Styela clava: one gene and its partner. The protein of the gene in region 1 purifies or fractionates together with the protein of each later gene. This does not show direct contact. Links are inferred from orthologs where the notes say so. Each region holds a gene or a part of one and is shown on either strand. Other genes may lie near its edges. The genes, in order: protein NEDD1-like and gamma-tubulin complex component 6-like.

What was found.
Region 2: the proteins of protein NEDD1-like (region 1) and gamma-tubulin complex component 6-like purify together in Homo sapiens (affinity purification with mass spectrometry; 3 studies listed by BioGRID and IntAct, with this or other methods). This does not show direct contact. The link is inferred for Styela clava from reciprocal best matches to the Homo sapiens genes NEDD1 and TUBGCP6.

What each region holds. Positions count from the first base shown.
Region 1 is NC_135253.1:16,886,392-16,903,449, forward strand, and holds protein NEDD1-like, read right to left. Parts: upstream 6,664-17,058; 5' UTR 6,516-6,663; coding exon 4,488-6,515; 3' UTR 3,359-4,487; downstream 1-3,358. Other genes in the region: putative D-lactate dehydrogenase, mitochondrial, read left to right, coding at 246-374, 982-1,109, 1,605-1,807, 2,468-2,633. UniProt on the Homo sapiens protein: Required for mitosis progression. Promotes the nucleation of microtubules from the spindle.
Region 2 is NC_135256.1:13,674,923-13,691,639, forward strand, and holds the start of gamma-tubulin complex component 6-like, read right to left. Parts: upstream 8,614-16,717; 5' UTR 8,022-8,613; coding exon 7,837-8,021; intron 7,390-7,836; coding exon 7,229-7,389; intron 6,669-7,228; coding exon 6,461-6,668; intron 6,095-6,460; coding exon 5,982-6,094; intron 5,240-5,981; coding exon 5,183-5,239; intron 4,617-5,182; coding exon 4,471-4,616; intron 3,539-4,470; coding exon 3,399-3,538; intron 3,179-3,398; coding exon 3,095-3,178; intron 2,462-3,094; coding exon 2,236-2,461; intron 1,529-2,235; coding exon 1,301-1,528; intron 134-1,300; coding exon 9-133; intron 1-8. Other genes in the region: N-acetylneuraminate (7)9-O-acetyltransferase-like, read right to left, coding at 12,875-13,162, 13,575-13,667, 15,689-15,766. UniProt on the Homo sapiens protein: Component of the gamma-tubulin ring complex (gTuRC) which mediates microtubule nucleation.

The DNA of each region.
Region 1 (17,058 bases):
TTTATGACTTTAAAATAAAACTAGATAGGATTTCTGTAGATTGATTATTAAGTAATTTTGGCAAGTTTACTCGAAGCTTCCGACCACTCACTCGCTCGCAGATGTGTGCTTTCTGAAACAGGTTGAACCTGGTTTATTCTTCACTCATTGCATCCTGAGAAGTTATTTCTTCATATTTGTGCCTGATTAAAATTATAATACAAATTTTGATTTTATGTTGATTAGTTATGTATTTTTCTTTATAGAATTTCTCGATACGAATATGATCAAAGCATGCAATAAATTTAGTCATTTATCATATCCAGTGAAGCCATCACTTTTTCTTGAGTTTCATGGCACTGAAAAAGGCGCTCGTGAGCAAGTTGATATGACAGGTATGTGCATGCTACTGTAGTTATTGATATATATGGATAGCATCCTGCCTAGTAGACCTTAATGTCTCGGTCATGTAGTATGGCAATCATAAATATTTTTTTTTACTCAATATCAATACAGAATGCTTTTTTTGTTAATGGAGGCAGTCCATTCATCACTGATTTTTGACTAGTTCAGTGGGAGAGAAAGAATTACTATATTGTTATGTCATAATTAATATATTTTCAATATCTCAATTTAACATCTAACGTTAGCTGTACTGTCGTTAAATTATTCAAAATACTGAAAAGAAATGGCACGCTTTCTAATGATTTGAATATTACTAAGCCTGGGAATTGAACCAAGGTTTGTCCAATCTGCACTGTCCCGGTTTTTTGTTTCATATATATGGTAAGCCAATATATAGATATACTAGTTCGTTTTTCTACTGGTATTCATTGATGTCAGTTAGGAACTACCCGATTGATTTTAGTGTTCAGACTTTTCCGTTATGAAGCTACATTTTCTGACTGGGCATAAATATTTCAAAATGCTGTGTATGGTGCAAGAGCTTGAAATTCATTGTGACTTAACAAATACCTTATAATAACATTATTTTTTTGTAAGCTGACATCGTTAAAGCAAATAAAGGCTCAAACTTCAGTTGGGCTGAAAGTCAGGAAGAAAGAAATAAATTATGGAAAGCTCGACATGATATTTTGTATGCAATGATTGCATTAGTACCAGGATGTAAGGTATGGAATTTATCTTTCGAGATATTATGGACAAGTTGATCTTCGATATTGTGTTTTCACATTTTCCCCCATGTTTATAAAACTTACTTCTTTTCAAAACCAAGATTCCATTATAATTCAATCATTAATTATTTTTTTATAAATAGCATCGCTTAAACTAAACATTTTTTTTAAATCTATTGAATTGTCTATATTTGGAGTAATGTAAGTGGTGGATATTATACAACTGAAAATTTCAACTATAAATACTACAGGCCATTTATGGAGTCTTCGAAGTTTTTGAATTGCGAAAGGGAATTTATCAATACTATATATACCGGTAGTTTGTTGCCCACTACTGTATCAAATAAAGTAAACCAGGTTAAGATGTATCAAGAATTTGTCTCATAATTATTGTTTTCATTTATCATTCCAAGAGTAACATGAGAGTGACAATTTTTTCATCTGAAATAATCTGCCCAAGATAATATTTAAGAATATCTGTTTCTCATTCAGGCTTACTCAACAGATGTTTGTGTACCAATATCATGCCTCCCTGAAGCAGTTATATTTTCCTCCGAATTGATAGCAAGCAGTGGTCTAACTGCAGGAATAGTTGGTCATGTAGGAGATGGAAATTTTCATTGTTTGATATGCATCGATCCGGATTCACAAGCAGAACAAGAGTTAGTTGTAAAAATCACTAATGAGATTGCACAGTAAGTATTTTAAATAAGCAATCATAATTAGACATGAAGATGTAAACCAACTAGCATAGTACTTATTTCGAATTGCTTTAACGAAGATGAATTATCAGATTCGTTATAATCAAATGCATCATTTAGAACTTGGAATTATATTTTATTGGACACAAATTGGACCTATAGATTGTTTTGGCATATGTTGTTGATGCAGTTAGAATTCTTTTTCTCGTTATGAATAAATCGCTTTCTCTTTAATTGCTTGCCCAATTCCTTGAAATTTTCAGTGGTTAAAGATTATTGTTGTTGCTGGAAGGCTATTCTTTTTATTTATTTATATTTTCTGTGGCCTCGTTGGGATTTGTTTTTTCTGTGCAATGACGTCATCAAAATTATAGCTCTCGATGCTTTCTGGTGGTCAGGCGAAGCCGTGATGACTTTGGTGTCTACTGTAAAATATTAGATACGGCCTTGGTGTCCATATATTTGAGCATTGTTTCTATGCATCTTGATTTTACTCCTGATCGCTTGCCTTCATAGTTCAATGATCTGGCTAAAGTCGTTGCCAGTATGGTTCACCAGAATATTGTGCCAGAACCAAGACGTATTGGTTGACTATACTGACTGGCAAAAATTCTGTAATTGTATTAGACAGTGCAATTTTCTTCCTATTTCCAGGAAAGCATTATCCATGGGAGGAACCTGCACCGGAGAGCATGGAATTGGACTAGGAAAGAAGAAATTGCTGGTGAAAGAGGTTGGAGATGAAGGGATAAATGTGATGAGAACTATAAAGACAGCTTTCGATCCACTTGGCATAATGAATCCTGGAAAAGTGTTATGAATTTGCCATTGCTGTTTAATGTTTTCGCTTAATAACGCTTGCCTCACCCTTTGGCGCTGTACGCTCCTAACAAAAATTAGCAGCAAAAATTCTATTAGCTTCGAACATTACATATTAAACTAATTGCTTTACAATTCTCCAAGAGCATAACTCAGTCTCTGTTGTGAACAGAACTAAACATACAAGGAAGGACCTGTTTGATATGAAATTATAAGTGTGATAGCAATCATGCTCGTAATGATAAGTTTCTTATATGAGTAATAGTGAACAATGACAATTTGATATTTTTCATCAACACACTTGTGCAATCACTGTGATAGTAATCTATCATTTTTTTTTTATTAATGCTTATCATGTGTACACTTTCTGCAATTAAAAAAGCAACTGTGACGATTTTGAGAATCGAGTACTACTGCTCCTGTCAGTTATTTGAGATAAGCTAATGGCGATCATAGTTTCTAGTTTGTCCTCCCAGAGCTTTAGGGATAAATAAGGTTGCGCAACATAGCTGAGAGTTTTGAACTCTTGCTCTTTTAACTGGTTGTTAAATATTCTTATCATCAGTCTTCTATTCAAACTTATAGAAGTTTCTTCATCTTGCAATCTATGATATTTCAGATAATAAATAACTTGAACTTGGTACAAGTTACAATCCTACAATTTAATTTAAGCAACGGGGATTTTTTGATGAATTGAGCAAAAATATCATAATCTGGATCAGAGAAGAGAATGACAAGATTTTATTTAAGTATCCTCGCAAGGCAGAAGTTTGGATCAACTGACTAGCAAAACATTACAGAATACAATTTTTGTATGTTCAAGAACCTTCAACTGTTCAATAAAGGTGTTTTGACTTTTGCTGCAATATTAGGAAGAGCAAAAAAACAGATAAAGATGAGCATTAGTTAGAGGCACGTTACTACAATTAACCATATAGGATAATTAGAATGCACTCGATACACCTTGTTTTTACGAATTAAAAAACTTGCTATCTATATTGAAACGTTATATTTGGTAACAAATAAATCTAGGCAAGCATGCAAGAGTAATATCTGTAACTATCTCGCTACGCCTACTATAGATATCAATTCACAAAAGGCACAGAATATCAACATTGAGATATGCAAGGCACCATATAAACAAAACTTTGGCATCAAGAGTGAACAGCCAGCTGCATCACGACACAATTCTAGTACAAAACCGAGGCAAAAGGCACTTTAACATTCTTCTCAAATAATGTATAGATTAAAAGTTATTTGAATTGGGCATTGTTAATTGAGAAACTATGAATGGTTAGAAAGTTGTATAAACAGTAAATATTATTTAAATAAACAAAGGTCTGTAGACTCCTCACAAAACAATTTTATTTAACCATAACCATTAGCATGGAATTTAACAGAGCTGGGAACATTCATCTGATTTACTTTCATCAAATGTGAACTGTTGCAACATATTGAAAAAATTTAAATTCAGATTTACTCCCCCAGAGGAATAATTCGATTTAGTATAATAACATTGCTAAATTTTTCAAACTCGAATTCAATCAAATGTTCCAATAATTTATATAAATATATATGACGAAAAATTTAATCAGAACATTTTTTATCAGCATTGTGCAATGATTTGCCATATGTCAGATGTTGAATACAACAGACACTACGCTTTGTAAAAAAAAGGAAAACTTTGTGATAAATTGTATAACTCTGAAGGAATTCTGAAAGACACTTTTAGTTTGGCGAAACAATTCCAATCATAGTTGGGTTTGGTTCTTGCACAAGTCGATTGTCGAATTACTTTTTTTACACCTGGCTGTTTTGTCATTTAATTCGATAACAGAAGCAAGGTACCCCATACTTAATACTTTCTTCGCAATCTATCATTTTCAATACGCAATCTTTCAATTTCTTGTAATAGGAGAGGATTTACAGATGACTGCTCAGCAAGTTGCCTTATTCTCTCATTTTGTTCCGCAAACATTTTAATCAATTGCAAATGCAAATGTCTTAGTTCATCACGAATGTTATCTTCATGTTCTTCCACCATCTCTCGTACAGTGTTTTGTAAAAAATCGAGCTGATATTGAAAAGGATTTGATTGAATATAGTCTGGTTGTTGATGGGGTGTTGACGACGCATCGGTGACTGCACCACCATTTACAAAATCATTTAAAGTGGAATCCTCACTCTGCGGTCGGAATTTCCCAGAAGCATTTTCGCTGGTTGGACTGAGAGAGGAATTCGATGCTGTTGCGCCATTAACTGATATCGCTGATGCACTGTTCATAAGAGGAGTTGAATGATTTACCCTTGTATCACTCCGTGAGCCTCTGCCCAGCTGTCCACTGATGCTACCCCGAGCTGTGCTCTCCTCTTCTCTAGTGAATGGAGTATGAGCTTTATTTATTTCCCCATTTTGTTCTGAGGGCAAACGATTAGCAGAGTTTCTTGTAATAGGATGAATGAAACCAGAGTTTGGAAGCAAAGACCCCCTGCTTGTCCTTTGTGGTTTGTTTTGACTGTGGTATGCAGGGGTGAATGCTGCATCATCTTGTATGCTATCATTCACACTAGCAACAGGAGAGAATATTCCCTCACAGTACGAGCCCATAGTGTCTCTTCGAATTGATGCAACACTTCGATTTGCAGGAGTTTGAAGACCTATATTTTTTTCAAGTTGGCTATTCCTACCAGGTATGATTTTATTGGTAGGACTAATAATACCATCACCATTTATCGGTTTTATCTCATTGGATGAAACTTCAATATCAGGAACTTTGTTTGACCAGGATCTTCTGTTCTTTGCGTGATCTTGTGGTGACTTAGCATTGCTTTTGAATTTTTCTGATGCTGAAGGCTTCAGTTCATCCTTTTGTTGTGTATCTTTTTTTTGTGTTTTCTGCCCAGACTGTTTAGAAGAACTAGATCTCGATGTCCTTGAGCTTTTTCGAAGATATTTTTGTTTACTTGTTTGTGAAACAAGCCTTTGTATTGAGGTTGAGTGGGCGTGAATACTGTATAAAGGTTCTTCGGCTTTCCTTAAATCATATTTATAAATGTTCCCCATGGAGCTTCCTGCACATACATGGACACCATTACTTAAAAAACATACTGCAGTCAATGGTTGACTACTGTTTATAGTTTTAACAACATTATTACCCTGAATGTCATAAAATATAACCTTTTTGTCCAATCCACACGATGAGAGTAGTAAATGATTCAAAGGGGAAAACGATAAATCCATTGCAGGGGCATCATGAGATGTAAATACATGTTTCGTCGCTTGTTTTTCAGTATTCCAGATATGAACAGCCCCATCGTCTGATGTTGTACCCAATGTAGTTGTCACCCACGGTGACTGTTCCAATCCACGTACAGACTGAGGTTTAGATGCTTTTAATTTTGTACAAACAGAACCAGATTCTATTTTCCATACAATAATTTCCCCTGCAGCACATGCAGAAACTACTTTGTCTTCAGCTATTTTATCAATACGTTTGACTGGTGACTGATGGCACTCATTGAAAGTCTTCACTCTCTTTCCAGTTTTGCAATTCCATAAATTTATATCCCCTGTGGTGCCACCAGAAAATAGAGAGGAGCCACTGTGTCCAAAACAAACAGAAGTTTGTTCAGTGCTTTCAGAGAGTTCTCGATAGTTTATATTATTATTTCCTCCACTGCTTGCCCAATCATACAAGACAATACCTCCAGTTGTGGATACACTTGCCAGTTCAGTATTATCATAATTCCATGCAACATCTTTAAAGTTTGAACCAGATGAAGAATCATGGCAATTATACTGCCTTAATGTTCTCATATGTTCTGCATCCCATACCTTGACACTGTCACTTGCTGACACAAACATTGAGACTGAATCTTGCATGTTCAAATCTTTTCCATTGGATGTGTTAAAATTTTTGAAAAATCATCCCTGGTTCATTTAAACATGGTTGAGAGTCATATAGACATATTACTATTATTAATTATACAATGCTATAGAAATTTAAAACATGATATAGCCTAAATGTATAAATTCCACAAATTTCAATTCTGATATAACATAAAAATCAACTACTGTAAATGCTTTATTCCTCATTTTTGTAGTTATGTGTACAATGAAAGCAAACTTTTGCCGCTTTATTTTCATGAGTTCGTTAACATTTAATAACTGATCAATGTCAACAACGTTTAAAGAAAATCTGTATAAGTTACCGTACATATCATTCAGTCATTCCCACATTCTCACTGTCTCAACAAGAATTAATAAAGACTTGCATATCTAGCCTACTTATAAACTTATGCCAAATTTGTTAAAAAATTTATACAAATATATTTAATGCGCATGCAACATGGAGACAGACCGAGTTAATAATACAGTGTTAAATTCCTTCTCTCCAATAATACACCTAAATTTTGAATTCGATAACAAATTTCAGAATTTGGATTCAATTCACAGATTCATACAGACGTATAAACTTGTTGACTTGCCTTACCCCTCTACCGGTAGTCTACCCAGTTACCAGTACGTACCCGACTAGGGTATCTATAAACCTAGTCAGATCCTTCTGATTTTTTTCATGCATCTAAAACAAATAATTGGCTAACTAATCCTTTACCATAGCCTACCGGACGTGGACTGATAACGGGACAAAAGCCATGGTACGGTACCGGTACGCCATATGATTAAGTCGTCTTATCGACTTTCATTACCCCGGGATAAATACGAACTTTCAGACTTTTACAATCTCGGTTATGCGAACCGAAGGGACTATAACACTTTATTTGACGTGAACCAAGCACCAACTGAGGCGGGAATATGGCGGCAAATGTCCCAGACCGGTAGCTGTCGCCATGGCACAGGAATAAGTCACCAAATGACTCACTATTATGTTGTTGTTGTTCTTGCTCTTCTTATTCTTGATGTTCTTGTTCTTTGACACGTTTTAAAAAAATCGCTATTCTCTTTAATTACTGGACCAATTGTTTTGAAATTTTTAGTAGTTAAAGCTGGATTTTATTTGTAGAAGGCTTTTACTTTTATCAATTTCAGATATTCCTGTGAGCTTCATGGGATTTGTCTTTATTTTGAGCTATGACATGGGTCACATAATCGCTGGCAATAGACAATAAGTTTATTTCGTCGTGCAAGAAAACACAATACAAATTCAAAATAGGAAAAAAATAAATATGCGTTACAGTAACGGATTTCATTGCAGTTGACTGGAAGTCGCGAAGGACCAAAAATGGTCATCATAAGTCTGCGACACCAAGATTGAAAACAAGTCAATATTAAAAATTGAAATAAATGAAAGAATAAACACAAATATAAACTTATCCATTCAATAATTAATCAACAAGGTTGATATAAATCAGTATATATGATTTGGGAGAGAAAGTAAAAATAAAAGTCGGGGAAATTCAATTGATATATTACTATAAAATGCGAGTAAATGTGATAAAATTGTACAAGTACATGAAGGCATGATTCCAATGAAATTTGTATATTGCTTGAATTCATTGAATGCTTTATCACAGTAAATAGTAGTTTTAGAACAATAACAATATTATTGTAGCTCTCTAACATTCCCATGATAATAACAACGTGCAAGTGTGGAGTGTCTAACTCTTTTTCATGAATCATCAACAAAATATTAATATTAATATTGGAATCATGCCCTCATGTACTTGTACAATTTTATCACATTTACTCGCATTTTATAGTAATAAATAAAAACAGTTACTTTTTAATATAATTTCATGGTAATGGCGAAGTAGCTGAATTAGGACATAACCCGAGCTTGTAAAAAATCATTCTTTACAATTTTAATTGTCAATGTCATATCTATGAATTTGCTTAATCGGATAAACAGTTGTTGAAAATCTAATTTGCATTTTTATGCCACCAGCATAAAGGTATCAAATTATTAGTTCTAAGTCTCATTTAGTTTCGAAACACTGCTGTGCTGTTTGTGCTGTTTTAAAACCGCACCAATATATATCAGTTTTGTATGTAATTAGCTACATTGTATTGATAGTTTTGAACAATTAAATGTCAAACTTCAAGATAAATAAATATTTTGTTGATGGTTCATGACAAAAAGTTAGACACTCCACACTTGGACGTTGTTATTATCATGGGAATGTTAGACTGCTACAATAATATTGTTATTGTTTTAAAACTACTATTTACTGTGATAAAGCATTCAATGAATTCAAGCAATATACAAATTTCATTGCCTGTGGTGTGCTAATTATAAATAGTTATGTTATTTCGCTGACACTACAAAATTCATTTTTATAAAAAACGCAAAAACTTCATGTCAGTCATATTTCAGAAACAACTACGGATCGATAAATGTGTGAGAGAGAGAGAGATTTATTGTTTTGTCAACCGTAAACGTGTAATCTTGAAGAAAAAAAAATTTGTTTGTAAACTGAAGTCAGCTTTGACATTCTACAGTCTTTATTTATATGCCCAAGCCTGATATGTATTGGTGGAAAAAATTCCCCACGAAACTCTTTAATATGGACGACTATCTCGTGTAAACGGATATATCTCGATAAAATTTTCTATAAATTACAAAATCGAATTAATTGGACGGTGTTTTTAGCTTTATTTGACAGCACAGATCAGATAACAGGCATGTGGAATGTCAAATCAATTATAACTTCTATTTTTCACATATATATCATATCGTCACGCTAATAACCGAATTGCGTAAGTCATTTTTAGCAGTTTTGAGAAAAACGTAAAAAACTTCCTAATAATATTGTTGTGCCATCGAGAGTCCATAATTTGCCATGGTTCAATTTTTTGATCGTAGCCGGATTTAATTTAATTTGTCTGACGCAGTTATGTGACGTCATAATGGCGCACTGTGACTTAGGCAGAAATGTGGGTATGGCTTGGGGACATACGCAATTTTGCAACTTGACTATATGCACCAGTCCTGAAAACCAAACAATCCAAAAACGAATTTAATTCCCAGTATCTACGATGTCTAATCCCCCAAATTGCTGATCTGTTTCAGGTACATTTTTTTATGTTTAAAAATATATATTTCATCAATAAAACACGCTCTGCAAACCCACCGAAATTAGACTTAGATTAAAAATAAAGAATAAAACAGCAATGCATCCAATATAAAAGCCAACCAAGGTGAATTGGACTCGGACAGTGAATATCACAAGTGCATACCTCCCTATACTATAGAATAAATTCAGATTTATAAGCGCTAAACTAGAATCTGAGATGCAAAAACTAGAAAATTTTTCGGCGAGGTTATTTTGCCTTTGTGACGTCACAGTAGTCCTGCGGTAACAACGATAATTCATTATGACGAAACAATTGCACAAATGTGCATGTCATACAAAATCTCCATTTTTATGGGTTTCGGAATTCCTAACAGACAGGTAGGTGCGCAGCATTACATAAATACCTATTTTATAAAAAAAAAACTCAAAACCGCCAAAAATGACTTACGCAATTCGGTTATTAGCTTGACGACATGTGGATTTAAACGGTATCATGAAATGTTAATACATCACATATATACGTTCAAATATATATATATATATATATCCGTACCGCGCCGTTAGATGATGCGAACTGATAGAAAGGGGAAAGAAAACAAAAACCGGAAGGGAATGGAATGAGACAACAAACAACAGGACCGTGGTGTTCCTCGTAATCCGGAACCTCGTTACCGGCTAGCGTTTCCTTATGGATATCCGTGGCACATAGGGATTAGATTAGAGAAATCTGCTGTCCACGAGTGTTTGATATGGCGACTTTAACACAATATTATCGACAAATTAACAAATTTCTCTTGAGATTGTTTCAATGATACTATGCTTCTCTTTGCAATTTGCGTTTATGGATCGTATTTTATCCAATTTAGGAATTCTAACGTTAATCCGTATAGGACGCGTATTTGACTCCATGCAGCGTTGTCCAATGCGTGAAAATACAATCCAAGTAAAATTACATTAATGTAAGTCAATGTAGGTACTCTTCGTCTATTTATCCACACACAGGCTATAAATACTGCTCATTTCGTCACGACTCACAGTGTCATGCTACGAATAAACTGGAATCATGCCCTCATGTACTTGCACAATTTTATCACATTTACTCGCATTTTATAGTAATAAATGGAAACAGTTACTTTTAAATATAATTCCATGGTAATGGCGAAGTATCTGACTTAATTAAAACATAACCCGAGCTTGTGAAAAATCATTCTCTACCATTTTAATTGCCATTATCTTATCTATGAATTCGCTTATTCGGATAAACAGTCGTTGAGATTTTGAGATCTATTTTGCATTTTTATACCACCAGCATAAAGGTATCAAATTATTAATTCTAAGATATATTCAAAGTAATTTAATGCCATTGTATCAAAACATAATAAATTTGTGGACGCAAAATATGTAACCAAATATATAACCATATTACAGAATCTTGAGAATATATGTACGGAAATTTTCGTACGTGTTGCTATGATTTTTTGCGAACAGTTTTAGCATTTTGATTTATTATTTTTTGTTTCATTATTCCGCTGAAATTACCCCCTCACAGAAGTAAACTGGCATGACAAAAGTTAGTTTCATACTTGACTACAATAGCACAAGTTTGAGTGTCGCATACATACGCTGTCACAGCTTTTGTATTTGTTCATCGTAAAATTCCATCAATTCCATCCTTATTTCATCCATTGTTCAATGCCATATTTCAGATTGTAAACAACATCTTCCCAAAATGTGAATAATTTAAAATCGCTCAGAGACCCATTTGTGAAATTTAGTAACAATTGTCCTTTCAATCAAATATCATTGGTTGGTTGATGGGAAATTTTGCAGCATGGTTGAATACTTTACATGCCTATGTACTATAATTATGTATGCTTGCAAGTAAGCTCGCGTGCACAATATGCAATGGTATGTGCGCGTGCAGTACATGCATGATGCGCATGCTCAGTGCGCCTTGCCAGAGATCACGTGATCTTAAAACGCAGGCTGAGCTGCGGTTGGCGCATTTATAACTAAAACAACTAAGACCGCGTAGCTCGACAAAATGGCGCTAGTGATAAAGGACAGATTTTTTTTCATTTTTCAGTAATTTGGGTACTTTTTGTTTATTGTATTTTGTTAAGAAGAGTTACAGTTTATTTACATCATTCGGGTTGAACTAAGCGTACAAAACAACTAGCTCAATTCTATGACACGAATTTGGTGACGACCCGCGATATGATTTATAAAGATGACTATATAGTCACGTCGTGACATTTGCAGACTTCCCTATGAGCTCACAGAATAGTTGAGTTTACAAATAAGACTTTTTGTCTTTCTTACGGACAAAAAAGGCAATGAAAATGTACCAGTATTGGTGGGCAATTTAGGAAGGAAAAGATTAGAGAATACAGGATTTTCATTTTCCGTTTTCAAAAGCTTATGAAAACGGGATATCCTATATTACAGACCTGACCGCTTTTCATGCACAGATTGTTTGTTTACTATGTTGGGGAAATCTTGTATATTCATGAAGTATTTCATACACAATCTAGCCTGCCTAGAAGTTTCGTTTTAAACGACCGGGATTTCCTAATTTTTCCCAGTTAAATTATTATTTCATTTTGTAATTGTTTTATAAATAGATGTCATAAAGTCATTTATCCACAAATTTAGCTTAAAGTGTTCGGACTGTTTATTAGATCCCTCCACTTTTATCTTTATATTTAAATTTTCTGATAGATTGTTCAACGCTCGCCAGAATATGCAAATCAGGTTCATGAAATGAAATAAGAAATTTAAATCTATCAATTTCAAATTATAGACTGTTTGTTGTCCATAGGCGATAACTAAATAAATTGCATATGAATTTGTGTTTAAATAAGACTTAATTTAAAGTACAATATTAAATATTACGATCATAAAATAGTTGTGATATGTCGGAGGTATTTTACAGCTGTAATGTTGTAACACCAAGCAGAATTAGAATTTGTATCTCAATACTAATTATGATTTCAATAACCACAACGTAAAAATGATACTATGGATACAGAATTTAATTCAATAAAAAATGATATAGAACATTGATATTTCAAAATTTTACCGTTTTTTTCGTTCACTAAAAATTCCCCATACACTATTATATTTGTAGATGTTTTTCAATTATCGAATCTTGTAATTTATTAGAAAGCTTCCAAAGGAAAATTACTGTTAAATTTCTGTTTCAGAAAATACAAATATGCGTGGCAAAATTAAGTACGCGGCAATCATAAGACTTTTCCCTGTTGGTGTGTACCTATTTATGTTTCAAAGGCAAACACGCGCTTCTAAATGGCTTCGAAACCGAAAAAGTAAGCGAGCACGTGTTCTATTTGATGACTGAAATACTCGTTTTGGTCATGAGGCTAGCCAGCTGTGCAACAAAGTGAGTTAGTTAGGCGTGGTGTGAGAAGAGAGAAATACTCTTGGGGCAATCTCATCATCTCTAGATGAAACAAAATTGTAGGGAACACAATAGCTTTACGTTGTTTCCCCACTAAGTACCTATAAGTTATTAATTGCATTCACAATGACAATTGAAAAACAAAATTTGTGTTGTTTCCGCGATGTACTACCGCATTATCTACCTCATTTCCAATTGTCTTGCGTATAGGAATGCATCGGGTATCCGTATTATCGTATCATTGTCGTAGGACCACTGAAAACAATTTTCCTATTAAAAAGACTGCATTCATTGCAAAAATGTTCCCTAACGCGACTTTTTCGATCGTTCAAACCGATTATAACTGATGATATATTTTAACTTAGTCGAACAAGTTATTTCGACAACTGAATCTTTAAATATAGCAATATTAAATTGGAAATTTTCATTTCTTCCTGCAGTTTTCCAAATTGAGTAAAATGCAAAATAGATGGCCGAATGTTGGATTCACAATTCATAAAAAGGTGTTTATCACTGACTCCACACACAAAAATATGGAAATAAATCTGTTTTTCTATATTAAATACCAACAAAACTTTCAGCATGCCGAAAATGTAATCACTATAAATAAAACGCGTATAATAGGGTAAATATAAACATTCAATAACCGCAAATGTTCACAGTTCTTCAATTCAGCTTTTGATTAATATTACATCATTGACTAGAAAAACGCAAAGTCCAGTTTGAATTGGATTGGACTCAATTAAAAACACGGGGTCCAGAAGGTACAAACACATTTATTTTTAATTAATGTCCGCATTGGCATGAATATTTTCGAGCTATTTTAAATTAGACGACAGACCGGGTATGTTATTTTTTCCAAAACTGATGAAGATCAGACAAATTTTGAAATTTCATTTGCCCATAATATATGGAGAAAACTCGTGAGTCGCTATTTTTCTATTTTCATTTCTAGTTTTTTGCAAACAACTCAATATATACATTCATGTATTTGGAAGTATCATGTATAAATTTTATGAAATCTCGAGGGTTAAGGATTAAGAATTTATATGCTTTAAAATCAATGCTATACTATTTACCACCTCTTTGGTGCATAAAATTATGATCTCGTTTTACATCGTAAGGCCTGTGTGTAGTGGATTAAAAGTTGAAAAATTGTTGTGTCGCAACGGGCGAGTGTGGGCTGGGGATTAACGTGATATGTGAGTAGGATAACGCACCATACAGAAACAGACTGGGCTTATTACATTATGGCGCTTAGTACAAAAGAGAAAAAGGTTCCAGGCTATGCTACCTTTTCTTTTTCTCTTTTGTTTAACTAAGTAAAGTATTTAACTCGGCCGGTGTTTTCTATCCGGAATTATTATAATGGTGACAAGGAAAGGGATAGTGTAATATACTTGATTAGATCCGTCCGCTTTTTATTAAGAGAGGAAAAGCAGTCTATTGAGTAAGAAAAATATGACAAAGTAATGAATTTTAATACTTCTGTTTTTGTTTTATCTTTAATGAAGCAGTTAGACAAATATACTCTGTACATCTTGTGATTTCCGTTTAATCGAAGCAAACCTATTGGCCACGTCAACATTAGGGAATTTAAAATTTCCGAAAATTGATTGCATATTGAAGAAAAGCAGAAAAAAAATACTCAAATACAAATTTTGGTTTAAAGGAAGAAAATATCTTCAAGGTATGTAGCAAACTTGATGTAACATTCGCAATCAAAAAATTTAAAATAGTTCATTTTCGAATCCCGATCAGTTTTATTATGTTGGATATTCTGTTGCTCGTTCAACATATAGTGTACATGTTATAGTGTAATATGTATAAAGACAAACAGGCCAAGAGTAATATCTCAAAATAGTAACATACTTTATGCATTTGCTACCAATGTTAAAAATAGATTAGGTTGGAAAATTTGAACAAGTTTAGTCTTGTCGAACGCAATTGATTAGATTTGAAAAATTTCAGGAAATAGAATATAATTTCCTTTTCCTGCTCACGTGTCACTATATGGTTAACAAATGAGCCTTTGAGTTCCGGGCGTGTGCGTGGTGTCTTGAATGCCTAAATCTCGCTGCTGTATTAAGCCGCAGATTAATTCCAATACATATACAGTCTATACATAAATAAGGTGCTTTTTGGGAGCACTTTTCATCAACAATTCTCCTACTGCACAAGGCATAATACAGTCAGTAATAATGTTAGAAGTGGGTCATATTAGGTACAGTTATAAGTGCTGCTGCTTCTATTCTATTGAATTGTCAAAAATGCTTGTTATGTGTTTGGATTCCATTTTTTGGTAACAGTTTACAATAGAATATATAAAACACGATTTCGGTAGTGATTTTTGATTATAACAGGATGAAGGAACATGTACATTAGCGAAAATAAGGCATCAGAAATAGTTCAAAAATCTTTAAATTAACATAAATCATAACAATCAGATAAAGCATTTAGAAGATTGATTGGCACTGATGTGTCGCGTCTATTTTTTGCGTGGGCCAACATAATGCTTTGTCCACGAGTCACAATAAAAATGCAGAAGGCGTGTGCGAAGCTTATGCGCAAGCGTCTCGAAGCGCTTCTAGGGCGCATGCGACTTCCGGTTTAAAATTCGTTATACATTAATCAAATTCGTTCGACAATTTTTGGCATGCTTTCAGAGCGATATGTTGAGCAGCATCATATCGATTTCCAAATTAAAAATATTTTCACCATTGTGAACGGAGGTGGGTACATCCACCACTAATTTTCCACGTTATTCCAATACTGAAAAAAAAATTCGAACAATTTTTAGCAGCTGTTAAATTGAAGAGAAATATACATCTGATTAAAATCACAACCCAGACTGAATTGACAAAAGGATGCAACTCATTTTTTCTATCTGTCACTCACTAAGCTAAGGTAACATTGGCGGCAAGGTACTGAATTCCGTAAAGTGGAATAGAGGATTCAATTCTACTTTTATATGAATTTGCCGGAAATTACTGAGTTTCCTCGATTCGAATTTACTATAGTGTTAGTAAACACTGCCGCAAATTCATCGCATTTTGTTGAAGTACTTCCATAATTTCCGAAGTGCGAAGTCTTGGGCCTAGGCCGGTTATCATCTATATGCGAATGGTATGGAGGAAACGCTTCTGAATTCAGTCAAAAACCGTCTATGATATACTTCAGTGTTTACTTGTGTTTAAAATATTTAATGTACCCCCCCCGCTTAAGAAAATTTATTTTGTACAATTAATAAAATGTTTGTGCTTTCGAAAAGTTTCCAGTCATGCAAAACATTTAAAAATGCAAAGGTTAAATTGTTTGTGTGCAGCAGTTTTGTTGTTAATTCCTATTTCGCCTTGATAATTGATAATATATTTATATATAATAGTGTGGATTTCACAAGTATAATGACGGGTGCCATTAAAAAATGGCAACAACACTGGCAAAACTTTCCAAACGCATCCACAAGCACTTCCTCCAATACGTGGAATTGACTTTTCGTAATTGTTCTGCCCTAACTACAGTTATAGTTCCCGGTTTGACACATTCAAAATTTTCCCGCGATATTGTCGCTTGAATTGTTTAGTTAAAACGTTGGGTTTGGATAAAAATATTCACTACACACTTCTCGTGTACATATGGAAAACATCTGCGTGGAACTGGCTAGAGAACAAGCCGTGATTAAGTTTACAAGTTTTTTTCCAAAAAGAAGTCAAATCGATTGGGTAGATCGAGCGAGAATTGTTGTTCCCTTCCAAACTTTTATCTTGAAATCAAGCACAACAACATTCTGTTAAAATCTAAGGTTTGGCAATGTTTACCGAGTTATAAAATTACTTTACATTGGGATCCAGCGTTTTAAATTCAACGGACCCTACAAAATCATTATCACGCATGTACAATTTTTACGGACAATTTTGTCGATATCATAAAACCGTTCCCCATAATTTGAATCATACGTATTCAAAGTAAG
Region 2 (16,717 bases), on another chromosome or scaffold:
AGTCTTACCTGATCTGAGCACCAGCTTTCCTTAATTTAACAGATAATTTTTGCAAAGTTATATTTTCCAATTTCAATGCCAATATTTGATGTTGAAATTCATGTAGATATCTTCTGACTGCATCAGTAAACGCCTAAATTTGAAAAATATATGAGATTCCAATTGTAATTAAAGACCTAAATTCTTATTTAGCATTAAAATATTGCATATTGAAAACCTTGCATATAACACTTTTCACTACAGTACTTTCAATCTGAACAAGGTCTTGTGTAATTGCAAAGATTTACTATTTATGGAAGGACCAGAATTTTTTTTAGTTCTGCATTGCCTATCCAATTTGGTGCTACTATAGTGCAAGCTCTATCACACTATAGCATAATATCTACAAGCTAGGATTACAGCAGGAGGTATTGCCCTGCATTTTCCATACATTTAATTTAGCGATTTATGACATGGGAGACCCTAATGCCAGTGGCGGCGCGTGGTCATTTTGACAACCGGGGCAAGCTACTGCGGGACCAAGTCACCCCCATCTAGGGGGACAGGATGAGCGCTGTAAGTTCTCCCATCATTGTATAAAAACCATTCCATCGGTAACAACCAATCGGCAAAAGCGACAATTTTTAACGATAAGAAAGTGTCTTTAAAACCGGTCCAAGTCAAGGGATTAATAAATATAGACATAGTTTATTTTGAAACCTCTTTCAAAAGGAAAGGCAATATTTACCCAGATAAATACAATGACATATTAACAGAAACTTCGGGAAAGCAGAATATGTCAACACGTTGTTGTATGAAACGTCGGCATTGTGTCGTCATAATTTCGGGGCTAGCCCCGATTATTTAGTAAAAGAAACAGAAAACAAACGAGACAAACGCGGCGAGTGGAAGATAAAAGAGAGAATACGATATACAATGAGCAACCGGGGCAAAATCGGCGTCGCCCCGTCGACGTTCGGCTTTGCGAGCGAAAAATGAACCATGTCGGGAGAATATGGCTAGTGCAGACAGTCTGTGCAACCGATATTGAAGTATTTTTCGAATATTTTTTATTATACCGAAAAAACAACCGGGGCATTGCACCGGTTGGCCCTATTGACGCGCCGAACATGATAAACCGCAGAATGCATAGACGTTGTTACACTATTGCAGCCCCATCTATTACACTGAGGGTGAGGTGGTGAGACATGGGGTTTAGAACTGAGATGTAACCCTTAGTTGAGTCCAACGATATGACCCTTAGACTGGTACGTCCACCACTTTTTATGACCCCACATTGCTTAAAAACATGAAAATTCACCTTAAAAATTACTCCTTTTTCTTTATCATTTCTCGATGAGACAGCTGAAGTGTTAAATAATTGAAAAGGATTTGATGAATGTATTGTTGATACAGACAATGCAGAGAAATGAACCAATCTCCAATAACATGTTCCCCATTCACTGAATTTTGATAGAAGTGAATAAACAGCTTCAGGATCGACACCAGAAAAATATATGTTTTTGTGCGGAATAAACATTTGAGCAAGCTGAAACAAACAAATAGGAACAAATTACTAATTAGTGAAAAATAGATGTTCTTCTGGAAGTACCAAAAAATAGAGCTCAATAACAACATAATACAATCTAGGCAGTGAAAATTCTGATATTTCACATTGTGAACGTACATTGGACACAACATTTTATGCTAATAGGAACTGTAGCCCACCGATTTTAAGTCGAATATAATTTTTGATTTCAAAATGGTGAGATTGTGCAAAATTATGCAAGCACGAGGGAGAATGGAACACAAGTAAGATTACTCTATTTTTTCTAAATAATTGTAAGAAAAAAAATTTTGAATTAGGGAAGCACAGTTGTTCACAGTTCTCCCAATATCAAAACAAGTTTAAATTTTCCAACTGGCAAAACCATTGAGACTGGCCTTTAAAAAAAACTAAGAAATAGATGGAAAAATATAATCAGGGAAATTGTGGAGATCAAACATATCTTCTAGAAGCCGCATTCTACGCAACCTCTATGTGGCCTTCCTAACTATCACTGCGCACATTTTTCCCTTTGTGTGTACACCTCATTTCATGTTAAATCAAAATTAGGTATATCAATGCAAATATCTGCAGGTAACAACAGCAAATGAGAATTGTGATCACAAAAACAATTATTAGGACAAAATTATTTTATCCAAATTTAAATATTTAGATATAAAGTTTTTTGACACTATAAATCTTCAACTTACTCTATTAAATTGAAATGTATCCGATGAAACACCCATCATAACTAATGTGGCTTGTTTAACAAGTTTCGATTCTTCCAGGCATCTGAATTCCAGCGTTGGAAGATTTCCACCATCTAAGAAGTTTGCTAATCTATGAATAACTGAAGCCCGATGTTTCCATATTTCATCAAACATTTTTGGTCCGGCTTCAGTGAGATAGAATTCACGTTTCGTTGATCCAGCGGGTCTAAAATGTAAATTATTTAGCTACCATAATCCATCATTAAACATGAAATCCGTGCACCTAAAACAAAATAATTACCTGACACCGCACCCTGTGTGGGTTCGTTCGCAGGTTTGAATCCAGTGGGGGAAAAGTATGTGCAAGAGTATTGCTGGACTCCACGTCGCCGTAGGGTGGTTTACGTAACCGCCGGTCAGTTAAGTATTCCTCCATCATCAAGTCCATGCATCTGAAACAAACAACTGCCTAACTAACCCCATACCCGACATGAACTGGTAACCAGACGATGAGTCATAGTTCGCTTTCCTCTCTCCCGGGATGAACACAAAATATATTTTAATCTTTGAAAACTGGAAGTGACATTGAATCCTAAATTGGACAGTGGTATATTCCCAAGGGTTTCAATTTCAGATGTCCTAGACGCTGATTCGTTTTGACCAAACTGATAACTTGTGGAGATATCTTACCTTGATTGCCTATTTAGCCTGAATTGTCATAATCCATTACCACTAATAGGTAATCAGGACTTGAATCACATACCAGCATCCAGAGTATGATAAAAGCACTGTTTATTATAACTATGATAAACCAAATAATATTGAAGAAATTTATTATTTCATTGATTGATCAACTCACAAGCCAAGTGTCTCCCATGTCCGATGATTACTTTTCTTTACTTTCAAGCAATCTTTCCAAACATTCAAGTCATAAGTTGGGACTCTGGAAAAAAAAAATTTTTTTTTTACAGTGTTAATGCTATGAGTGACATAACCTAGTCGTAAAAATTCGAACAAGTCAAACTGGGAAAATTCACTGTTCAATACAAGAGAAATTTATTAAACTAGCTAAAATGACTTCTGACATCTTTTTCATCTGAGTGACTGCTTATGCAGACCCCTGTTTTGAGAAGTTCTAAAATCTATATAAAAATGTAAATCACCTGTAGCCATGATAAGGAACAATAGGAGTAGATATTCCGCTGTCAGATTTGTGAGGTGAAAACGATGCTGGATCTTGTTCTAAATCTGAGAAATCAATACTTGATGTTGGTGACACAAATCCTTCGTCTACTGAAGTCATCTGATAATGCACAAAATATATTGTATGTTATGAAATATTCGCCAAAAGCAAGTTTTACATCTGATAAGTTTTTAGCAAAGTTTTGAATTTAATCAGAAAATAGGTGCAAGATAAATCAGGCAGTGTGCTAATCTTGGCTAAGTAACTTGGATTTTTTACCCAATTTTTTTTACATATTTTTATCTTCCATTTTTGTACAAAAATAAACATAATTTACAAAGTTTAGATGATCTACTTGAAAATCGTAAAAAAACAAGTGTAAAGGTACAAGCTACGGCTAGACTGACGGCTACTAAATTGAAAAATACTAATTTTTTGTAACAATCGAATGTTTCAATTGGCATAATGTACAGATATGGAATCATATAATCAATATGAAAGTCAAAGCAGAGAGTCACTGAAAAATCATATTTTTTCTCATTCATTCATTGTTCACGCCGAGTGTGAATAGGAGAATATCGGTCAGAGACCGAAGACTTATCGATCGAAAGTTAGGGGACCCCCAAAACAGCGCTCTTACTCCATAGTGACACCTTGTGTCACTAATCAATTAATAATTCGCTAATTATACTACATAAATCATCCAAAATCAATAGGCTTCTGGTCCGACATATGATGAATGCACATGCAAAATCTGGAGCAGATTCAATATCGCGTGCATCTAACAGACAGACAGACGTACAGAAAGACAGACAAATACCTATCAACATACTTACCGATTAAAATCGATAAGTAATAACCTAAAAAGCTGGAGCACAAGTACAAATCAAGGCATCTGCCATTTGTAACAGTGTCAAATAAATTATGGCAATATTTCAAAATATTAAACCTAAACGTTAGCTGACTGAATTAGAGCAAAATATATTAGGAAAGCATATATTCAAAAAAATTATTTTTGAAAAAAAAAGGATTCAATAAAATCAGTTACATACCGAGGTAGGAAGGGAGGCCATCATATCAATAGGACCCGTGATTGGTGGATATGATAATTTAACATCCAAATCAAAAGTACGACTGTGTCGAAGACCTCCATATAATCGTGTCTGACTGTCAAACTCATATGCTGAATCCGTTAAACCTGAATAGAATTAAATAACGAACATTGAATAAGTAGACAAACTTAATTATGTAAATCTACAAGAATTATCTGGGGATGGATATGTTTAAATTTCACAATGAATGTTTCCCCAATCCTTGGCCCCAGAAATATACTCTCTATACTTTACTATTGTGAAATATTTTTTATATTTATTGTGAAAGTGTTTTGGAGAGTTTGCATGTCTGAAACCATCATTTTTTATCGAAAACTTTCAACCACATTCCTCTTACAGGTACTGATAGCATATTTCAATCCAGTCTATCGCAGCTAATTCGGGACTAATTTTATATTATTGCAACTAAAGCTCCTAGGTAGACATGATGACAGTTAAATTATTTGATTTCAACTATTTTATGGAAACACAACTGAAAACTGACAAATACCACGTAAAACTGCTTGAATATCTTGAGTGAAAGAAGTGAGCGTCTGCGTAAATTGCCATTGTCATGTCATCATTGACTAATTGCTGATTGGTTATTGTTACGGAATTGGTTACGAAAACTACTAAGCAGCAGAAAAACATCACAATATGCTTGATTAAATACCTTTATCAGAGAAAACTTTAGAGTCTAGTCCATACAATCCATTGGGGTTCTTGTTTCCTATAAACGAGTATTAAAATAGATACATTACAACATTACAACAACAACACAGAGTTTCTCAATGTTGGCCCTCGGTTCCCTAGGGTGCTACATAGTGGTTCTATGGGGGCTATTAGCAAATAGATACCATTCGTGACAGCTAACTTAATTTAAAGTACAGAAAATTGAATGTGATTTGCAGAAATCTAAAATACATTTATATCTAACTTTCATTTCCAATTGTTTTTATTATTAAACGTCGCACAAAGATTATATATTAAAATGCATTGAAAGTGCCGTGCCGTAATTCAAAGTAGGCTACAATAAATTGGCAATGATTTGTGGAAATCTTTGTCTGAAATGCATTTTTTTATTACTTTCATTTGTAAAGATTTTTAATATTAAACGCTGCACGAAGATAATATATGGAAATGCACTAAAAGCAAATCGGGTATTTTATTATAACAGCAGGAGACCACAAGCGAATCTTTAGAAAGGAGGGGGGGGGGGGTGAGGGCAGGGGTCACAAATAAGGAAGTTTGAGAAGACTGAACCGAGTATTTTATCTATCCTAACCTAGAACTTAGCATAAATCCTGTTTGGAATACGAACTTGAATCATTTGGCCCAGATTCAAAACTGACCATATACCAGAACGATGATACAATTCTTGGACAACATTTTTAGATAACGGTTGATTTCAAGTTGAATTTCAATAAAACAATATAGAAAGAAGCATACTACCAAATTTTGTTTTAACCCACCTAATTTGTCAGGAAGAAAATATTCTTTTGCATAAAACATATCTTGATCGGTATTCTGACTCCTCTCAGGATATAATAATGGTTGATCGATATTAATATTTGTGGAATACCAACTGAAAAAAGAACTCAATGTTAAATCAGATAACAATTTAAAACACGAGGACAATCCATAATAAATGTATGGACACATAGGTCAAATGATTAATATGATCACTGCAATGTCACAAAATTGAATTTAAACATAAACAAATTCGTACCGAATTGTCAGTGAAATAATAGCGAACTGTTAAAATAAGTTGTATCAAATGTAATATAAGGGTGTGCCCTATATTATTCAAAATAAAATTCGAATGTCCATTAATTGTGGGTGTCCAACAAAAACCACGGTACCAACAACAACAATTTAGCAAAACAATCTATAAATTTAGTCTTGGTAAATAATCTTTCAAATTTTCGAGTGGAATAAAAAGATTCCTTACTCTGGATAAAGTGTGTATGACTGTTGAAATAAATGGTATGGATAATCTCCATGATATAAAGATCCTTTTAATTTTCCAAATTTTTTAATTTCCTCTCGCGTTGGTGCTTTTCTTCTCTTCTTTATATCACAGTGTTTATTCGGAGAATTTCTTGTATCAGCGAGACTTAGAAGAAATCTGATAGAGCTTCTGTGTTCATTTGCTTCAGCTAAAATGTAATATTAGTGTTTTAAAACAATCAATAGAACAGTGGTTCCCAATACTTTATGGCTCGTCGCCTCCTTCTGAAGGCTTTTACCACTCATGTCCCCCTGTTTATCATTCCAGTGGTATTTAGAGTGTTATTTTGATTGGTAGATTTCAAATCCCATCATGTTTAAACAATTCATGCTCTTTAAAGTCCAAAGACCTTGTGAAATGACCTCATTTAGTGATGAAACTAGAAACGGGAAGTTTTATTGTCAAGAGGAGGGTAAATTCAGTTTTGTGCCCAGCATTGTGGCCCCCCCCTCAAACTATTCATGGCCCCCTTTGGGGAGACAAGGGCCCCTGGTTGGGAACCGATGCTCTACAAACTAACTCAATAATGGCCAGACATTGATGGTGAATTTTATCCATGTGTATTCTAAATTTATCCCAAACTCTAGTAGATTTTATAACTTATTTTTACAACTTTGCCTCAAAAAAGCCTAAGTACAGGTAGCTACTTGGATGTAGGGGTACCAACTTAGTAGCAACAAACGTGTCAGAATAGTCTTCTATATTTACCAGCCAATAATTTGTCAGTATGTTCCTCTAATCTGTCTGCATCATGATGCCTTCTTTGATTCATTCTCATTCTAAATGCTACAGCACTCACAATACTTTCTTCATTCCATTGATCAGATGATAAAAGATCTTCAGTGAAAGTCATGACGTCTTTCTTTCTCCTATAACGAAAATATCAAACATATAAATTTTGGGATCAGACTGTATGCTCCCAAGCTTGATTATATAGTATGTCATCATTTGTTTTTCCACTTATATTGCAATTTTTTTGTTTCAGTGACGGGGTTCAAAATGAATTATTTTTATCTATTCATTAGTAGTTGATAGAGAAGCGAAGAATACTAGTCATATACAAGAGGTTAATAGTAAACAGAATTTTCTGAACTGGCACACAAAGACTTTATAGTTGTTCAGGCAACATTTAACCCCTGATTTCATCAAAGGTCAGATACAGCAAACAAAGGATTAGAAAATGGATTATATTTGATGCATATTGGGACTAATGAAGCTTGTTACAAATAAATACTTTATAATCAAATTGATAAACCAGGAACCCACGGAATAAGCAAGCTATTCGAAGGGCCAATCTTTGCACCAAAAATAATTACCTGACAAAAAGTGCATCATACGCAGCCTTTTTCATTGGCTTCAGAAGCTTGCTGAGTGGAACTTTTGGTTTGCAATACTTTGCTTCTCTTGAAACATTTCTCTCCAAGTGAATTGTACACAAGCGTTCAATACTTTGTGTCAGACTCCGCTGGTCTGTTTTTGTATCTCTTACTTTGTGTGACATGATTTTAGTAACAATTACCAGGATTGTAAATTAATATTGTGTTGCAAGACATTATTTATAATCACCAACGATCGTCGATAGATATAATATATCATCTACAGAATGCAATAAAATTTTAGAAACTATTAATTTATTAAGTATGTCACATCCATTGCAATAAATGATGACATATTGGACAGCGGTGAAGATTACAAATAGGAAGGAACCTTCTTTGCAAACATACCGACCCAAGTTCTTATGAAGATCGTCCTAACCAGTTTAACATTGTCCACAATAATAAAGAGAAATCTCTACTATAGGCAAGGTCGTAATCCCTCACCTAAAAGCAAATATGATAGGTAGTTGGAAAGCTCCCACAAGCACTATTAACAATCACATCAATCCACTGCTGCTGCACATTTGTTTGTATCTATCTTTCTAATATTCTGACAGATGCTCATTTATCGCTCCATCCACCCTGTTTGCGAAGTCATTTAATAACATGTTCATTTTGGCCTCCACTTAACACACTTATTTGTTGATATTATTATGGAATTGAGAGATTAGTCAGATGCCGAGGTATCAGAAAAATCGCAAGTAAAAAGCCTGTCAATTTGTAAACTATGTGGGCCTGGATGGAGGTAGGTTCGGCCAATTCCTTTCAGAGTCATAAACCCTGCCATCTAACCAATCATTCAGAGTAGTGTTGTACAAAAAGAACGTTGAAGCTCTGTTGACCTAAAGTTGGAAAAGCGCTCAAAAAGTCTGAATATGGATTAACATTAAACCATAATTGAAACAAACAAATTCTAATAGGAGTGGGACAAAAGCAAGCTATTAAATGCATATTTTTGTTTATTCTCAAATATAAAAGTTTACAAGATAAGTCGTAATTTTCTAAATTATTATCGATGTGATAAATGCAATCCACTGGAAAAGTTAATGTCAATGCGAATGGGAAACTCTCAGTTTATACAAAAAGTGAAATGCTATTCATTTTTTAGTCATATTATACATGTATTATCAATTGTGCAAAAATGCAAAACTTTTAATTAAGCAATATAATAACAATAACAGGACGACTATTCATGTAAAATAATCATACATGCCTCAAAGCTGATTTATATTTCAATACTATTCCCACATTGGAACACAATAAAAATACACATTACAAAGCCACTAGCTTATATTTTAATTTCTTTATCCAGATTATACATACAGACAGACACATTGTGCTAATAAAAACGATGAAAAATTATGAAGGTAGAAAATCACGAAATCAAAGATGTATGTATCACATTGAATTGATAAAGATTGTACAATGCATAGAATAATGAATTCAACAAAATCCAGGATTTTTTTAGAAAAATCTAATATTAGCGAAATAGGTGATACCAAATAAAACTTTTTCTAATCAAGATAACTCTTGAAAATATAAACTATATTTGACTATTTTTTTTTTACTTTAATGATACTTTATCATTAATTTGTTCTTGTTGCTGAAACAATTTATAAATATGAATCTGTAAGTAAAGAAGACATCGGAAGTACAGTCACCTAACATAACATATTCAAAGACTTAGATCATATAAATCTCTTTCGAACACATAAGCAGGCTCTGCGGTCCTGTCTGCAGGTTCATATTCAACGAGTATGCACACCAACACTATATGAAAGCAATACACAGTTAAACTACTGAAAAACTGATAGAAGCAATAGAAAAAACTAATGAAATCATCCAAAAACATTTGAAAATTCATCATAATTTTTCTTATTTTACCATGACCATGCTCTCACATACAGTGATAATTGCTGTACTGTGTTCTAGCAAAGACTGCTATTGGTGAAGAAATAATATATTTCATTTATCTGTGCACACCACACCCAGCTAATATGAAAAAGCATTTGGTGATTATAAAAGGTATTCACAGCATTGATCGAAAAGGGAAAATATTGGTGAAACTAGATATCATGCTTGAGAAAAATAATGTCAAATTCCATGTGATGTTTACCAAAGTAAATATTTATGAAAAAAACATTACTAACAATATTACTTTCTGATGAATCTGTTGAAAAAGAGACGAGAGAACTCAAATGGGTATTGGACACAAAATGAAGGGGACCTATGGACTGTTTTGCTAAATTGTTGTTGATGCTGTTGGCTTGCTTGTCGCTGTTGTTAAGAAAAAATTACTTTTTTACTCTCAAGATGGGAGAAATGCCTTTATTTTTTTTCGAATTTCTTCGGAGTCCTATTAGACCTGATTTTGCTGTTTTATTTGAATTTATGGGAACACTTTTTACATCATAAGGAAACACTTTATTCCTCCACACTTTTCCTGTAGATATCGATTTACTAAGTAAGAATTTTAAAAGTAGATGATATTTTCACTTAGGGTGTAGTTTTTTTTTATTTCTTGTCATTGAGCTTCCCAACTGATACAGGATCAATTAGAACTTTCAGTGGTAGATAAGACTATCTTAACGGATACATTATAAAAAATAATTTCTGATTTTGTACCGTATTATTAAATACTGAATTGAGTCATTCCGCTATTAATGGAATTACAGTGGTGCAACTGACACATTGAATCTCACATATGATTTGAAATTATTACTTCTATTATTCATTCCCAATTTAAGAAGGCAAAAATTAATCAATTAATTAAGATGTTAAAATTACTGGAGCGTTTATGAAAACAGTGAAACAGTTTAATAGTTTCAATTGTAGTGCTTCCTGGCCAGGGCAAAGTCAAATAATTAATTAACACAGAATAATTAGGTGATTACAATTACTTGGCTATTCATCAAAAACAGTGGGACAATTTAATAGATGAGCTTGAGTGTGCTTGTGGTGCTTTATGGCAGAGAAAAAGTAACCAATTAATTAACCCGGTTCAATTAGATAATTATAATTATTATAACTTTTCATAATAAAAAGAGATAATTTTATAAAGGAGCTTCAGTGCGCTTGTGGCACTTTCTGACCAGACAAAAATTAAGTAATTATAAATACATTGGCTGTTCATGATACAATGAGACAACATAGTAATTAGAATTGATTGACTGATGATAAGCAGCCAAATGTTTTCATACCAACACTCAAGTTCTTTCTGAAAAAAAATATTAATTCTTGAAGGTAAGTCTAATGAGTGACATAAGTCTAATGAGTGAAAAATACTTTCGCTTGTTCTGATATCACTATTCAGTAATAATTTTGAAAACATTACATCGAATATAAAAGAAGTATATATGTAATTAACTAGAAAAATAAATATCCGTTGAAAACAATCAATTATTCATATGACAATGCAAAAATAGACAAAAAGCCTGTAAATACGTGCTGTTTAATAATAGCTGTATATAATCAAATACACCTAGTTAAAGTAACAATTCAATGCAATATTAAATAAAATATGAATAATAAAAACAGCGTTATCGATACAAACATAAATTAACAACATTACTAGTGATTACAGTGCAATTACTACTGCACATCTTCCTTCAGTGAAAAAATTAATTTTTGTGCAAGGAAACTAGAACAATAAAAAGTGGATTGTCTCCCTAGCTGCAAAAATTAAAACAATGGCTTCTTATTTGACAATTTCTACTTAATTATTACAGAAAAACAATCTAGATGTAGTTGTCAGATGTATGTCAAAATTTTAAAAATCAGGTGAGACAAAATATAATGTAAAATCGTATTTGGTTTATCAATTTTTACAGTTACTGTAATCTTTAGAAATGAAATATTTATGTTATGGTATGAAAGGCGGATAAATATTTTTTGTGCAAATAAATTACCGATAATGGTTTTAATATAGCGAATTCAAAATTTCAATTTTTAGGTAGGTTTGGGCTCTGAACTGGATACTACGATATTTTAGATGGTTTGCCAGTCTTTTTTTGGAGCCAGAAGTTGGCGTAAAAATCTTCAAACAACCCAGATGATATTTCCCAAAATTGAATTGATAAAAAGTGTAAATGTTTCGTGACCAAAATTTTTTACACAGTGGGTGGGGTGTTGAGCATGGTATTTCAACCTCCTATGCGTAACCCACAATGCCAAAACAGTCTTACAGTCTCGAAACATCAATGGCTGTGAAGCTGGAGCCTCAGTCTGAGTTCACTGCGGCTCCAAATCGTGAACCATAGAATGAAAATAATATTTAACATTTCAACTTAATTCAAATAATGTCGATCACAAATCATTTTATGAAAGAATATAAACAACGAGATAATCTAAGCACACCGTTTGTGTATAAAACTCAAAATAATAAAAATAATGTAAAATCGCAAAATAAAATTTCCGATCGAATAAAGAAAATGCTATAGTTTCTTTATAGTTGATACGAATTGAAAAAATAAAAAAAAAACATAAAAACACTCAAGTACAACTCTTAAATATTAGCCTATTGTTAATGTTGAATATTATTAACTTTGTCTTCAGCATGTAAACAACAAATTCATACGAAAAAAAAACAGTTTACAATCTCTTTTTAAGAAATAAGTAAAATCACCACTATTTCACAGTAATATATTATTATAAGTTTTTTTTCAACCGAATATGAACTTGAATCAGTGGGTCTTAAGCATGAGAAATTTCCCATCCAGAGGAAACCGGAAGTGGTCATCAAATTTTCTTTTCAATAACAGATACAGTGCTCAAATCCGCGTTCATTCCGCATATTTTCAATGTGTCTTTTGAATAATATATACTTCCACCTTACTATCTGTTATTTATAGTTTATTATTAGTTGGTTATTTTTGAGGGTGGGGTGCGAGAATTGACAAATTCTAAAAAGAGGGGGCGGCGTAAAGAGTTTGAAAACCACTGCCGAGATGAGTAGTGTTGTTCTCCGGCATAAACTTCTTCATGTACCACCGAAAGTAGGGGGGTTAAATGTATTATTAATAAATGATATTGCACATACGGATGATACAAATACCGCTAATCGTATTAGAACTTTCATAACCTCATCTTTTGGTGAACCAAGTGCGTGTTTTGTTAAAATACCAGTGATTAGATTGATTTCATGTGCGATGCATACAAAAATAAATGATGTAATGACAAGATTTAATGTCGGCCACTCCGGTGATATGAGAACGAGCATTCCTTTTGTGTCGGCTGCTAACCAAATGTGATATTGTCCGATAAAAAGCTGAAAAATATTAATTTGGAAATGGGTTATGATACTGGAAACTAAAGTATTTGCAGTGAATTACATTTCTATTCTGTGAAAAATATAATTCTCCATAATTATTTCGACAAGCAGATTTTTAATCCAGCCAAATATAGATAGAACTATGATATCCTGTGTAAGGGGAATACAATAAGCTGACACCATGGTTAGTTAATTTGTTGGTTAGGTAAAGTATATCAGTATTTTTCAAAAACTTATTCAAAATAAAATATGCTCTTGTATAATAAAACTTAGTTTTGCTTCAAATATGTTTACATCAGTTATTTCAGATCCCGTAGGTGGGCTAAGAGCCCCGCTTTTTTATAATCCCTGAACTAAAACATCCCCATTTTTTACTGCAAACTTTACAAAATATGTGTACTAATCCTACCTCCAATGATATTTTGCCGAACCAAGCAAAAAATGCACTGTATCCACTTCTTAGATAACCAGGTACATTTCTAATGATGATGAAAGCAGTTATCTGAAAACAAGAAGTCTATAAGTGAACTATAAGAGCAACTATGGATGAATATATTATTTGAATTGGTATAGTTATGCCAAATTCAAATGGGTCTAATCTAGACCCAGGTCCCAGATCTATTGCTCCGGATAGATATTAATAGGATAAAAATTCGCATTCCTTTAGTAGTTGGGTGGACATTAATTGATTATTCAAGCCATATAAATTCTCAACCATTTTTGAATATCTGAGTGTAAATTTTATGCAAATTATGCAATAAATTATGCAAACTATAAAAGCAACTTAGAATGCATGAGGGATTTAAATTGGCATGCCGATTTAAATTCGAAGTGGGTTCATGCTAGACCCAGATCTATTGCTCAGGTATCAATAGCATAAAAATTTGAATTCCTTCAGTAGTTAGAGGAATTATTTGATTATTCAAGCTATAAAAATTCTTAACATTTTTCGATCTTCCAAGTGTGAATTTAATGCAAATTATACAATAAATACAAAAAAGCAGTTCATCAATGACAAAAATAATTCAAAATCTTCATTATTAACAACTTTCAAATTTATGAATGCCAGCTGTATTTTCGCATACAAATCAATACATGAACTAACATACAAAATTTCCACTCATTTAATGTAAAAAAATTTAAATTTCATTATTTACAACTTTCAAATTTATGAATACCAGTTAGGGCTGAGCGTTTGGAAACACTGTTTCGAAACAGTGATATGTCGAAACGGCAGCGTTTCCACCTTCGAAACGGATATTATGACGTCATAGCAAATGCAATCTGAAATTAGTTAAGGTATCATTCAGGGATGTCCAATTCGAATTTATTATCCAATTTTATTCGAATATCGTGACTCTCAAATATCGTTTTTAGTGTTTATAAGAATATTAAATATCGCCCAAACGTCCTAGCGCCGCCGTCCACGTTTTGATTGAAAATTTTTACAATCATTTCATTTTATGTTCTATCGTATTCGAAGACACTCTTTGCGAGGCGCAATAAATTACTGCCGACATAAAAGGATTTAAGTCAGCGCCGACTTGAAGTACTTGTAACACGTCGAGGAAGTTTTTAATTGAAAAAATTTTACAATTAGTATGGTATATTTAAACATAGTCGAGATAGTCTGGGTAACAGCGCAATAAATCTGAAATCAAATCAAATTTAGCTCAACGATGTCGATGTCACGCTGACGATAAACAGTCAGAGTCATAATGAAAATTAGCCGTATCAAAAATCCGAGTTAATATTGATTTTACTGTATAATTTGAACATTCCACCTAGTTGTTCCTTTTTCTGTGCTTGCCAAGATACACCACAAATCATAAATACTGTAATGTTTACCAAGTCTATTTCCTTAGAGCAAAAAAATACCTAATTTAAATCGATAAAAGCCCAATTCCTATGTTCCTGGAGTTTAGAAGGTATTCGGAATTCGGAAGATTCAAAAATATCTTTTTCCAGAATGTATTTGAAATAGTCAGGTACTCGGTTATGGCTCTCCCTGGTATAATTACCACACTGGATCACAAGGATTTGTGGCATCGGATAAAGTAGAAAATGACCCCACCCATTACATTAGATGAGGGCAGGGCCGCATTGAGACTTCGAGAGGCCCCATGCTATGCTGCTTGTGAGCCCCATCTCTAACAATGACGTAATTCGTATTATCCTGGTGCCATTTGGCCTCTGCTTTGTCATTGAGCAGAAACATTCGTGGAATTATCATTTTCGTTTTATCCTCTCGAATTAGCATCCAGTGCTATCCTTTTGTGGATTTAATTGTGGAAAATATATGTCATTATACATTAAATTCAATGGGTAATAATGGTATCATATTTTACTGTTTATGACAAACGTGTGTTTCGATTCGATTTCGTTTCGAAGGAAAAATTTCGTTTCGATTTCGAAACACCAGCGTTTCGAAAATGCCCAGCCCTAATACCAGTTGTGTTTTCCCATACAGATCAATCCATAAACTAAAATAAAAAATTTCCACTTGTTCAAGTAGGTACTTACAGGCAATATTGATGCATAGGAATGGATTCTGTTGCATGTAAACTTATCAGTACATTGTGCTGCCCAAACTGTATAAGTCTGAAATACAAAGGCATGAAATCAATCCTAAATTACAAAATTCTATTATCTAATTGTACATGCTCAAATGAAACTAACAACTGATGAGAGATAATACATATTTAGGTTTAATATAGCTTTACAACCAAATCACTAAAAAAAAAATTCATTATTAGATGAAAATATTTTATACCGGTAGATATTTATTTTAAGAGAATTTGCTATTTGCTAAGAGCAAGGATACACGCACTCACTCGGAGGTAAAGGAGACAGATCTTTCGAGCAAATTTATGGGAGATCACTGAAATTCCAAGCAACTGACCAATTATGATTTGTGATAATGCATTACACATTAAATGCCATTGCAGTGGGACTTGAAGCAATTTGAGTTAATATACTGGAGAAAGCATCTATGGCAGGGGTCGGCAACCTTTTGTCGTTCGCGGGTCAAAATTAAAGGTTGCAAGTCATTGGCGGGCCGCACATGTTTTTAGAAATTTGAAAAATCGAATAGATGACCGATGAATCACATTTTATCACACAGATCAGAAGTTAAATTTTAAGCATCGCGCGAAGACTGACAATTTGAATATTTTTTGCGCCATTAATAAACCATTTGCACTTGGCATCAACTTTTTTGCATTTTGTTGCCATTTGTTTAAATTATAGGCTCATTAAACAAGTAATTGGGAATTACATACTTGTTAGGTTATAATATAATTTATTCTGCATGTAAATTCTCTTGCCTAAAAAATATAATTGACAAAACAGCTATAATTTATTACTATAATTCAGTGAAGAGTCACGGCCCGGATTATATTGCCCCGCGGGCCGTAGGTTTCCGACCTCTGATCTATGGGGTAATATATTCCACATTACTGAAAATTTCGGCAAAAAAATTCTTTGTTAGTAAGGTACTTTAAAAAGAAATAACGAATATGCAAAAATTAGTCAAAACAAATACTAATTTCA